Linked DNA regions of Mus musculus. The protein of the gene in region 1 interacts with the protein of each later gene in a biochemical or structural test. Links are inferred from orthologs where the notes say so. Each region holds a gene or a part of one and is shown on either strand. Other genes may lie near its edges.

Region 1 (3,746 bases):
AAAGTTAAGAGAGAGGGAGAGAGAGGGAGAGAGTGTGTTTAGACAGAGAAAAAGTTTAGAGATAGAAAAAAAGAGTTTAGAAATAGAAAGTTTAGAGAGTTTAGAGAGAGAAAAAGAAAGTTGGGAGATAGAGAAACGAGAGAGAGAAAGAGTTTAGACAGAGAAAAAGTTTAGACAGAGAAAAAAAGAGTTTAAAGATAAAAGAGAAAGTTTAGAGAAAGAGATTGTTTCTCTGTGTACCCTGGCTGTCCTAAAATTTGCTCTAAAGATCAGACAGGCCTCAAAGTCAACTCAAACATTGTCCTGCCTCTAGAGTGCTGGGATCATAGGTGTAGATTACCATGGCCAGTGGGACTTGGACCTTCTAAGGGACTTTTAGAATTTGTATTTAGACGGATGAGCCTAAAACCAGAGTGACATCCTGATAGGGCAGACTGGCAATGTGAGGATCCAGATGAAAAGCCACAACAAACTACTAACATTGTTTTAGAATATTCTTTTTAATGATTATGTGTTTCTGTGTACATGAACACATGTGTAGTAGGTGACCAGAGAGGCCAGGTGAGGGCATCCGATCCAGAAATGTAGTTACATGGGTGCTGGGAACTGAACTGCAGCCCTCAACAGGAGTGGTGTTAATCTCTCAACACCACCCCCTAACATTTTTCTTAAAATGAAAGAAAGAAAGAAAGAAATCTAAAGTGCAGGTCATCAAACAATCAGCCCAGATTTCCACGTTTTTTAATCGTGTATCTGTGATGGAAAAGCAATTGTTCCATCATATAGGCTATTTTGTTTTGTTTCTTGTTTGTTTTTTTTTCCAAGACAGGGTTTCTCTGTGTAGTCCTGGCTATCCTGGAACTCACTCTGTAGACCAGGCTGGCCTTGAACTCAGAAATCTGCCTGCCTCTGCCTCCCAAGTGCTGGGATTAAAGGAGTGGGCCACAACTGCCTGGCTATATTTTTTAAAAAATATATACATATAAAAAAAAGATGTCAAGATGGAGAAGACAATTGGAGCGTGGAAGGAAGCACATTTCTTTCACATTCAAAGCTCACAACACAGCCCCACACACAGACAGGCGTTTTGTGCTCGGCATACCCTCCACCTCCAGTTCCAGGGGCCGCTTTTGACTGGAAGTCTGGAAATAAAGCAAAAGGAGAAGTGTTTAAGAGAAAGCACAGCTTCTATCAAAGCTCCTCATAGTTCAGTAAACTAGGGGCATTTCATGGAAATGACTAGTTGTCATGACAACCGAATCCTCCTCACACACCTCTGGAATCAAGATGCTTATCCATGCTCCCTGGCGATTTCTAACCACTAATAAATGTACAGCCACTTAAAAAAAAAAAAAAAACCTTTCAAGTGACACAAAAGCAAGTTCAAATTGGATCTTTCCTAGCAAAATTCTGGGTGAGGTATGATTGTAAAGCAGCCAGAGCTCCCGGCTCCCACAGGGTTACCAGGGAGCTCACACACGCTACTGTGCCACACCAGCTATTATCGTTAAATGCACTTTCTATTTAAAATGCCTCCATTTGAGATGAGTTCCTCAGAATATGATCCCACCGTAGGCTGAAGTATATCCGAATGTGGACAGCAGGCAGCACCAACAGCTTTGCTTGGTTGCTGTCTCCTGACACTGTCTACTTATAGCTACTTAGACTTTTCCTATTCATAAATTCAAGAAAGAACAGTAAGGAAAAAGGATCGAGATCACTGACCAAATATACCACTGATCAGGTATAACTTACAAAGAACTTGAAAATGATAAAACTGCAATCAAGAAACTTCCTCTCCCAGCACTTGGGAGGCAGAGGCAGGCGGATTTCTGGGATCGAGGCCAGCCTGGTCTACAGAGTGAGTTCCAGGACAGCCAGGGCTACACAGAGAAACCCTGTCTCGGAAAAAAAAAAAAGCAAACCAAACCAAACCAAACCAAACCAAACAAGAAATTGCCTCAATAAAACCATGGTAAAGCAAAACTTTTACTTTCTAACAACAGAAAGTTTAAAACAGAAACCATCATAGACTACTTACCCAAGTCTTACACTTTCTGAAAACTTAAATTCGTGCCTCTAACAGGATCTTCCGTCTTCCGTTAGATTGGCAAGCCCTATCTAATGTTCCAATTCATTCAACATATCCTGCGTTATTAAGTCTTCCAGGGCTGCAGGAGCATATCAAAACAAAACGCAGAAACACTGGCTCGGGCTGGAGGGCTTACCTAAGCAGCATTAGGCCGCAGGTTCAATCCCAAGTACGGCCAGCAAGTAGAGACGATATTACTACATGATATTATGCAAGCAAGCTGGCCTGTGGGTCCCATTCCTCCTGCCTCTGTTGAGAGTCAATGCCCTATCTCAGCCTTCTAAGAGTATATGTATGTGTCACTAAGCCTGCCATTAATCCTTTTCTTAAAAGCTGAGCACCTGCCTCCCCACGGAAAGTTCAGTCATCAGACTTGCTCATCGGCAACTTAATCCTAGACCACAGTGAAGTCATCAGAATACCTGGGCGGGAGCCACAGGGAGGGTCACCGAGTTCTTTTCCTGCACCAGGAGATCCTGAAATTTCTTCTTCATGTACTCATCCTGTGAAGAAATCAAAAGGTATATAGAGATAGGCTGCATATAAGGCAAAGCAAGCTCCCAGAGTGACAGGGAAATGCCCAAGGCTACCTTCCTGACAGCAAACCTCATACCTTTGCAGAAGTTTCCTAATGAAGGGACTTGGCTGTTCGCCTCTGCCTTCTTGGAACAGTCTGTGCTCAATCAGCACTCGCTACATCAAACTCAAGGGTCCTGGGCTCTTAACCAACCAGAGAACCAGACCCCAGCTATGGTGCAGAACCAGCAGCATGCTGTGGGGAACACTAGTCAGGAGGCCAGAACACAAGGTTGACACTGTGCCACCCCTAGTCCTCACAGAACCAGACCCCTCCCTCCCTGACACAAACAGAGCTAATTTTGCAGGTCATCTGAACAGCTAATCCAGCAAGTGAGAAGCAAGTTGACAGATGAGCCAGAGCCTAAAAAAAACCTCGGACCCACATCTCATGGAAGGGATGGCAATAAACAGGACCAAATACTGTAGGTATTCTGTGCTATAGGAAGGAGAGGTGGAGCAGGGGAGCCATAAACAAGGAGAAATCTTCTCCAACACACGTAACTAGCTCCCGCTTCCCTCATGGTAAAGTCCCACAGGGTTCAAGCACAAGCACGCAGAAGCTCTGGGAGGCAGCCTGGCACTGTTCCAAGTTCTCAGAAGCATAAAACATCTAGGTAGAGACTAGAGAGAGATGCTCAGAGGCAAGAGTGGGAACCGCTCTTGCAGAGGACCTGCATCTGGTTTATAGCACCCACATCAAGCACCTTACAAGCGTTTGTAATCCCTCAGGAGCAGGGGATCTAAGTCCTCTTCTGGACTGTTCAGGCATTGAACTCACACATACACATGGTCTCACTCTGTAGCCCAGGCTAGCCTGGGATGAACCACTATGCAAACCAGGCAGTCCTTGAATCACAGAGACCTGCCTGTCTCTGTCTCTTCCTGAATGCTGGGTTTAAGGAAAGCACAACTATGGCCAGAAAAAGAAATCTTTAAAAAAAAAAGACTGCACACACCTCAATCATAGTAGCCAGGAGGCAGAGGGAGGTGAGTTTTTGTGTGTCTGAAACCGTTCCCATTTACACTTTGTCAACTTAGCACCCCATGCACTTTCTCTCTCTATTTTTCTACCTCT
Region 2 (3,746 bases), on another chromosome or scaffold:
ATTTCCAGAGGACCCAGGTTCAATTTTCAGCACCTACAAGGCAGCTCACAACTGTATGTAACTTCTGTTCCAGGAAATCTGACTCCCTCACACATACAGGCAAAACACCAATGTACATAAAAAAAAAGTAATTAAAAAAAGTTAAGGCCCAGTTATTTCAGAATGCTGTTTTAGGGGAGTGGAGAGATGGCTCAGTGGTTAAGAGCCTGCACTGCTTTTTGGTTTGGAGCGCCTATCTGGCTCACAACCACCTGTAACTCCAGTTGTAGGCGGAGGGTTGGGACTCCACACAACATCCACAGAGATACACACATAATGAAAATGAAATAAATATTTAATGACAATTTTAAAAGGAATTGTCTTGGGAGGTATAGAAACTGTTGTTGAAAGGCAGGCCAGCATAAAGCCTTTCCTTGTTGTTTGCATTTCCCATGCTGCTGTAAATAAGTTTCCATTACGCTTTTTGTGAAATCTCAAAGGCTGTACAGAAAATAATAAAGGAACACGTTGACTCCCTCAAAAGAATATGGTGCTAAGAAAATATTAAGTTGATCACTCGAGAACTTATTTCAATTTCGTGGAAATCAGTCTAAAAGCATTCATTTTGTTGTTGGGACTGTCAACTTCTGTGAACGGAGGGAAATAACCGTGTCTTTAGGGCATGGAGATCCTGTTGTATGCTCCTTTTCCAAACGGTAACTTAGATTCTGCAGTAATAGCTGTATTCAAGACGAGTCCGAAAAAGTATTAACGACGCTGAAAAGAGGAAGAAATATGCAAAATACTTAAAAAAAAAAAAGGGCTGTAAAGTGTTAGGAATTAAACTCGCCGACAGGTCTCCGACCTAACGTTATCGCGGAAAACAGGGCTGTGCAACTGGCGGTGGAAAATTCCAAGTCTTCTTAAGTAAACCCGACTGCTTCCCTTAACTCCCAGCCGGACAAGTCCCACCCAAGCCAGTTCACGCGTGCTACGCTGGTCTAGCGCACGGACCAACGACTTTGCAGGGCATTTTCGCGCCATTTCGCTTGAAATAAGTGGAAGGTCAAGTCTACCTTTGACCTCTGCAAATTTTCCACAATCGCGGGAGGCAAAACTGGCTCTGCAAAAGGACCAAAGGGGAAAAGCCAGAAGTCTCACGTTAGGGATTTAAGGGGAAAAAAAGATGACAGGTTGAGGCTTCAGCCGCTTAGTAACAGCGGAAAACCCCCAGGGTACAGAAGCCCTAGGCTGGAGAAAACAAACCGGGCAAGGAGCGCGCTCCCCCGGTCGGCGGGCCGAGCGAGATCAGCGGTTGCAGAGAGATGCGGGGGTGGAAGGAGGGCGGGGGCGAGCTTGCTCTTCTTGACTCCTGATTGGTCTGTCTCAGCGAGCCGAGTGACGTCATCAGGAGAAAGGGGGGGAAAGAACGTCTGATTTGTATGGTGGGCGCGGGCGGGCGGGGAGCGAGTTCAGTGCGCAGGCGCAGCTGCTCGGCTCCTCTCGCCCGCGACTCGACCGGCCCAGCTCTCGCGGACAAGTCCCGACATCACGCGCCCCCCCCCACCGCCGCGGGGACCGCCTCCTCTTCACTCTCGGCTTCGTCGAAGATAAACAATAGTTGGCCGGCGAGCGGCGAGTGTGTCTCCCGCCTCGGAATTCGGCGGGCTGCGTGGGAACGGCGGGATCCCGGGCAGCCGGCCATGGCGGGGCTGTACTCGCTGGGAGTGAGCGTCTTCTCGGACCAGGGCGGGAGGAAGTACATGGAGGACGTAACTCAGATCGTGGTGGAGCCCGAGCCGGCTGCGGAGGACAAGCCGGCGCCGGTACCGCGGCGGGCGCTCGGGTTGCCGGCGACCCCCACTCTCGCCGGCGTCGGGCCATCGGAAAAAGGCCCGGCGGCGGCCCGCGACCCTGCCCCGGACGCCGCGGCCTCGCTACCCGCTGGCCGCTGCTGTCGCCGCCGCTCTTCGGTGGCCTTCTTTGCAGTGTGCGACGGGCACGGCGGTCGGGAGGCGGCACAGTTTGCCCGGGAGCACTTGTGGGGTTTCATCAAGAAGCAGAAAGGCTTCACCTCGTCCGAGCCCGCCAAGGTGTGCGCTGCCATCCGCAAAGGTTTCCTCGCCTGTCACCTCGCCATGTGGAAGAAACTGGGTAAGTTCCCCGCCCGCCTCTTTTTTTCTTTTCTCCCCTTATCCCCCTGGGCTTTTTATAGCATCAGCACCGCGTGGGCCTCCCCGGTACCAAGAGCGCTATCCATCAAGCGACGCTGTCCAACAAGGGATGCGAGTGAAGACTGTCATGGTTGGAGTTCTAGGCACACCGAGTGGCCTCGGAAACGCTAGGATGGCTTGTCTCCCAGCAACCGCTCCTTGCATTATCTCCTCCCTCCTACGATCAGGGGGCAACAGTCTCCCCTCTCCCTTCGCTAATTCACTTTGGTAGCAGCACGCTCAGAAGTGTTTGAATGCCGGCGCCAGATTGTAACCGAGGGATAAATTTAAGAAACGTTTCTACACGGGCTAGGTGAAAGAAGCAGGAGGTGGCAAGAATTGGAGCGTTCCCTTAGCATCTGTCATAATTTTGTTCTTGTTGGGCTTGTTCCTCTTGGTTGCCTCCTACCGGTGGTGTCACTTCTTCAGATTGACCTGAATGGCTCTGGCTCGATGTAAGTCAATTTAGAAGGGCTGAAGTGTAACATAGGCAACTTACTTTTGTGATAGTGTTTTGGGGTAATCCCTTGAATTGTTTATGAGAAAGGTGTGCAACGTGTTAAATATTAAATTGGCTCCATGTTAGGGGCATGTGTTAACTTCTTGGTGTGTGTGTGTGGGATACTTAGAATTGCATTCAGTTTTCCAAAAGTTCATACTGAAAAGCACTCATGTCACTACTCATCAAAGTAGTTTTTGGTAACAGGTATTTTAATTCCTAAAAGTTAAGTGTGATTGTAGTCCCATCTAAATTTTGAATCTCTCTGAGACAGACAGTACTTCTGTAGATAACAGAAATGCCCGAGGGTTATATGGCTGCTTATTTTGCCCTGGGTATATGGTGCATATTTTTGTTACAGAAAAGAATTTATGTTCCTGCCACTAAAAACCCTTCGTTTATAGTGGTGTAAGAAAGTCACTCTATTTTCATTAAAGAGACAGAGACTCAGTGCTGTTACAGATTTGTAAAATACACAGTATTTTTAGAAAGGCATTGTCATACAGTATAGGCTAGCTGGTTTCAAATCTGTTTTCCATCTGTTGGGCCTTTTGCCAAGTATTTGATTGACTTGAAGACCAGCCACTGAGGGTTTTGGAGGCAGGTCCCAGCAAATCCCTTGGGCCCCTATCATGGATTTATTTTGTTTTCGTGTGGGCTGAGTAGAGCTTGAAAGCATTGTAGTTTATTCTAGAAATGCATTATATTATTGGCTGAAGAGGAATTAAAAGTGGATAGGGAGACAAAGAAGATTAAGATTAGACACAAAGACCTATTACAGAGTTCATTTATTTTGCAGTACACTTGGGGCATATGAATTTCCCATATGCTTTAAAAATCAAAAGCCTTTAATAGTTGAACTTTAGCTAGGTGTGGTGGTACATGCCTTTAATACTAGTCCTTGAGAGGCCAAGGTAGGCAGATATCTCTGAGTTTGAGGCCAGCCTGGTCTACTCTACAGAGAGAGTTTCAAGGACAGCCATGCCTAGTAAAGAGACCCTTTCTTTAAAGGGGGGGAAAAAAAAGATTGACCCTTCATATTGAAGTGTGGTAGC
Region 3 (3,746 bases), on another chromosome or scaffold:
TGTAAAATCTAGGAATCGCAAGCAAAAGGAAACAAGATATTTATGTTTTTGAAACTGGCTTATTCAGCCTAATATGATTATCTCCAGTTGGACCTATTTTCCTACATGTTATTTCGTTCTTTATGGTGGAAAAATATGTGTATACACACCATATTTCCGTTATACATTCTTCTGTTGTTATATAATTTGGTTAAGCAAATGTTTTGAGTGTAGGTTTAGAACTCTACTTTTGCATACTTCTCGATCCTCCTCAAGCATTAGGCCAGCCTACTTAACCTCCGTTTTTATGTCAAAAGGAAAAGGTGTGGGACTTGCAGAAGAGACTGCAGAGCAAAGGGGGCACTATGGGCAGGCGGGATCACTTTCTGTTGAAGCATCATACGGATGCCCAAAGCTAACATGAGCAGTTCTTGGCTTTAAATATAAAACTTAGACGGAATCTCTTAGGAAGAGATTCCCCAAATCAGCTAATCTGAACTTGACTACAGATGACTGAAGGGCCTCAGCAGAAGAGGTTAAACTTGGGCTAAGTTCGAAACGGGAAACTTCTTTTCAGAGGGCCTAGACTTGCAGAGCTCTCTGAAGTGGTAGAGACGAGCTTGCCCAAACCCCACGCGAGATCAGCGATCAGCGAACCGCGGCGCCAAGACCTCGGGAGCTACAAATGGACTCCCCAACCACCAATTACGCGGTTTAGGACCGGAGAGGAGAAGGCCCGCCCAAGAACGTAGCCCCGCGCTCCGATTGGACAAGCTCATTTCTCTCCCGGGGCTCCTTCGCCTGTCAATCACGTTGCTCTGACACGACCTTGGCCCCGCCCCCGTTCGACTGACGCAATGCTTGGTGTTCTTGGGCACCCCGGCCCTCGCTTCATGTTCTCATTGGTAAGCAGGGCGCAAAGAGAGGGAGGACGCTCTTCTGCTTTCTGAGCTGCCTGTGTAGTTTCCCTCTTAACGCGCTGTCTGGAGAACAATCCCAGCCTGGAGCCTAGCGCAGGCGTACACAAGAGCCGACAGCGGCGCGGCGTTTCCCCTTTCTCCCTCCCGAGAGCTTTCCTTTACAGTTGTGACGCACAAGGCACCCCGCTCACTGCCTTCACTTGCGATTGGTTGTGGCCCGCGTCTGTCACGTAGCCCCTCCCTCCCACCCAGCTATGGACTCTTGATAGACAGCCGGGAGGCCACGCCCCCACCCCCGTCTGCCGCTTAGCCCTGCGATTGGCCGAGGGCACTGGCATGCTTTCCCGCCCCGGCCCCCTCCGGAGACTCCGGAGGCTAGTGGGACCCCGCGGAAGTTGTCAGTCAAACTCCTTCCTCCACCCCCCGCGAGGACCTCCCCCGGGCCGCGGGAGCGCGCACGCACGCGCACCGAGTCCCCCCTCACCCGAACCAGCCACCCTCTCAAGTTGTAGCAGTTGCTTCCCGGGCGTGCTCCGTGGGCGGCCGGTGGGCGCGGGAGGCTGAGCGAGGGCGACGCTCCAGGGATCCAAGGATCCAAGGATCGGGGTACGGGTGGCCGCCCCGGGCGATGAGGGGCCATCGCTGACAGGAGAACGAGCGCTCGGCAGCGGCTCGCGCGGACCCGCGATGGAAGCGCCCCGGGAGGAGGCTCCCGGCCGGGCGGACAGCGCGGGCGGCAGCCGCTGAAGACCTGTCCGGACTCCGCGCGCTAAGGGGCCGCGAGGCGCGCCCGGCGTCCGCACCCGCGCGCTCGCCCCAGCCGTCCAAACTTCGGGCTCGCCTCCGCCCGCCCTCGTCGCCGGGCGTCAGCAACTTGTGCGGCCCGCGCGCCCCCGCCCTCCCCTCCGCCAGCCCCGGGAGGCGGCCGCGCGGCGCGGGGATGCGGCCGTGAGGCGCTGTCGGGTGAGGAGCAGCTCGCGGAGCGCGAGGGCGGCGCGGCCGGGGCCCGGGGCGCAGGGGCGCAGGCCCGCCGTGCCCGTCCCCCGCCGATTGCCCGGGCCAGCCGCCGCGGGAGGCGCCGATCGCCCGGGTCGCCGAGATGTCGTCGCCGTCGCCGCCCGCACCAGTTGCCTGCGCCGCCATCTCGGCCTCGGAGAAAGTGGACGGCTTCACCCGGAAATCGGTGCGCAAGGCGCAGAGGCAGAAGCGCTCTCAGGGCTCGTCGCAGTTCCGCAGCCAGGGCAGCCAGGCGGAGCTGCACCCCCTGCCCCAGCTCAAAGGTAACCCCCGGCCGCCCCTGGCCCGCGCTCCCGGGGCAAGCCCTACTCCCCTTCCCACCTGCGCGCTTGCCCCGCCTGCCCTTGCCTTGGCGATTTCAGGGTCCCCAGAGGTACCTGCGCTCCCTTCCCTCGTCCAGTCTTTCGACTCCCTGCCTCGCTGAGCCTCAACCCTGGTTTTCTCCAAGCTTAGCTAGTTCTTCTCTTTCTCTGTTTGTCCCTCAGTTGTCACATCCAGGGTCCAAACAAACTGCTGCCGAGTTAGCTGGCCTTTAGACGTAGCTATATAGAACTAGCTTAAAACCGGGACCAGGTGACAGATCTTACTGTCTCGTTAGACGTAAATGTTATACCTCAGAAGACCTCGATTGTCTTTGGAGAGGTTATGAAGGAAGAGTAATTTCTTTGCCGTGGAACGGGAACTTGGTTAGCGCGGCTATGCTTCCAAGGACTTTGTAAGGTTTTGTAAGTAATTCAGATTGGTATCCGTGCCTAATGCCTCGCAGGAGTGCTTGGCACTCCTTTTGGCTCTCTTTTCTCACCCGGTTTGGAGGCTTTTCATGAGTTGTTTACTGGCGTTCTTGCTTATTCTTTGAGAATTACTGGCTTTTAATTTAATAATTTTACGTCTTTGCATTTTATGAGCTAGATGTCATTAATGGAAAAGATGTTTATGTTCCTAGATATTTAAGAAATTCTTTGCAACCTGATAGAAACCTAGAGAATGAGTCACAAGGCCAAGAAATAAAAGAAAGGCTCATGCCAAAATAGATAAATGATCAGCAGATTTTTCAATTCTTTTGACAAAGATCCAGCATCCCTTTCAAGGCCAATCTGGTTGTGATTTGTCTTTGAGTCTATGAATCCTGACTTAGTTTGGCAAGGAGTGTAAAGAAAACCCTAGATCAAATCAACAGTTGACCAGCAACAGCTTGGAACCCCATTTAAACTCTACATCTGCCTCTCGGGGTGCTTCTGAATTAAGGATATACCACTGGTAGAATCACACAGACTTTTGAAAATAGTTTATGTTAGGTGTGTGGTGTCTCATTTGTTGCTTTATTGCTCTTTACCATACTAGAATTGTTCAAATTGATACAGCACTGTCAGTGGAGTGCAGCCATAGCCTAAAATAACTCTGTCCTACCTGTTAGGATAGTGAATTGCTACTCAGAGGTTTAAGCTTTTATACTTAATTAAGAGTTATTTTATCCTTTGTTTTTCATTAGTTTATCCTGTTAATTTTAGTTTGAAGTCTCGATACTAGCATTTTTCTTATGTATCTAATTTGCTAACGTGGTTTTCTTCTTCTTAGTGTTGTACTTCTTAGTTCCTCTGCTAGTAATTGAATTTTAAACATCTGGTTAGTCTTGAGATGCCTCTGTAGTAGATTTTGCCTTTAAGACGGACAGAAATCCACAGAATCAGTAATCAGACTCAAAGTTACCTGATGTTTGGTTGAAGATGTAGCAGGAACTGCCAATGTTTTCACATACAGAATTTGGTCAGTAGTAGAAAGAAATTGAAATTTGCGTGTATAGTGTTCCCCATAAGGTATTATTCATGATAA

Evidence for each region.
Region 2: of the proteins of Chek2 (region 1) and Ppm1d, one has a biochemical effect on the other in vitro, tested with the Homo sapiens proteins (2 studies listed by BioGRID, with this or other methods). The link is inferred for Mus musculus from reciprocal best matches to the Homo sapiens genes CHEK2 and PPM1D.
Region 3: the proteins of Chek2 (region 1) and Ppp2r5a form a complex in vitro, tested with the Homo sapiens proteins (2 studies listed by BioGRID and IntAct, with this or other methods). The link is inferred for Mus musculus from reciprocal best matches to the Homo sapiens genes CHEK2 and PPP2R5A.

Annotation. Positions count from the first base shown.
Region 1 is NC_000071.6:110,870,876-110,874,621, reverse strand, and holds the end of Chek2 (serine/threonine-protein kinase Chk2), read right to left. Parts: intron 2,596-3,746; coding exon 2,515-2,595; intron 1,143-2,514; coding exon 1,056-1,142; 3' UTR 482-1,055; downstream 1-481. UniProt on the Homo sapiens protein: Serine/threonine-protein kinase which is required for checkpoint-mediated cell cycle arrest, activation of DNA repair and apoptosis in response to the presence of DNA double-strand breaks.
Region 2 is NC_000077.6:85,309,791-85,313,536, forward strand, and holds the start of Ppm1d (protein phosphatase 1D), read left to right. Parts: upstream 1-1,463; 5' UTR 1,464-1,682; coding exon 1,683-2,133; intron 2,134-3,746. UniProt on the Homo sapiens protein: Involved in the negative regulation of p53 expression. Required for the relief of p53-dependent checkpoint mediated cell cycle arrest.
Region 3 is NC_000067.6:191,394,669-191,398,414, reverse strand, and holds the start of Ppp2r5a (serine/threonine-protein phosphatase 2A 56 kDa regulatory subunit alpha isoform), read left to right. Parts: upstream 1-1,373; 5' UTR 1,374-1,998; coding exon 1,999-2,179; intron 2,180-3,746. UniProt on the Homo sapiens protein: The B regulatory subunit might modulate substrate selectivity and catalytic activity, and might also direct the localization of the catalytic enzyme to a particular subcellular compartment.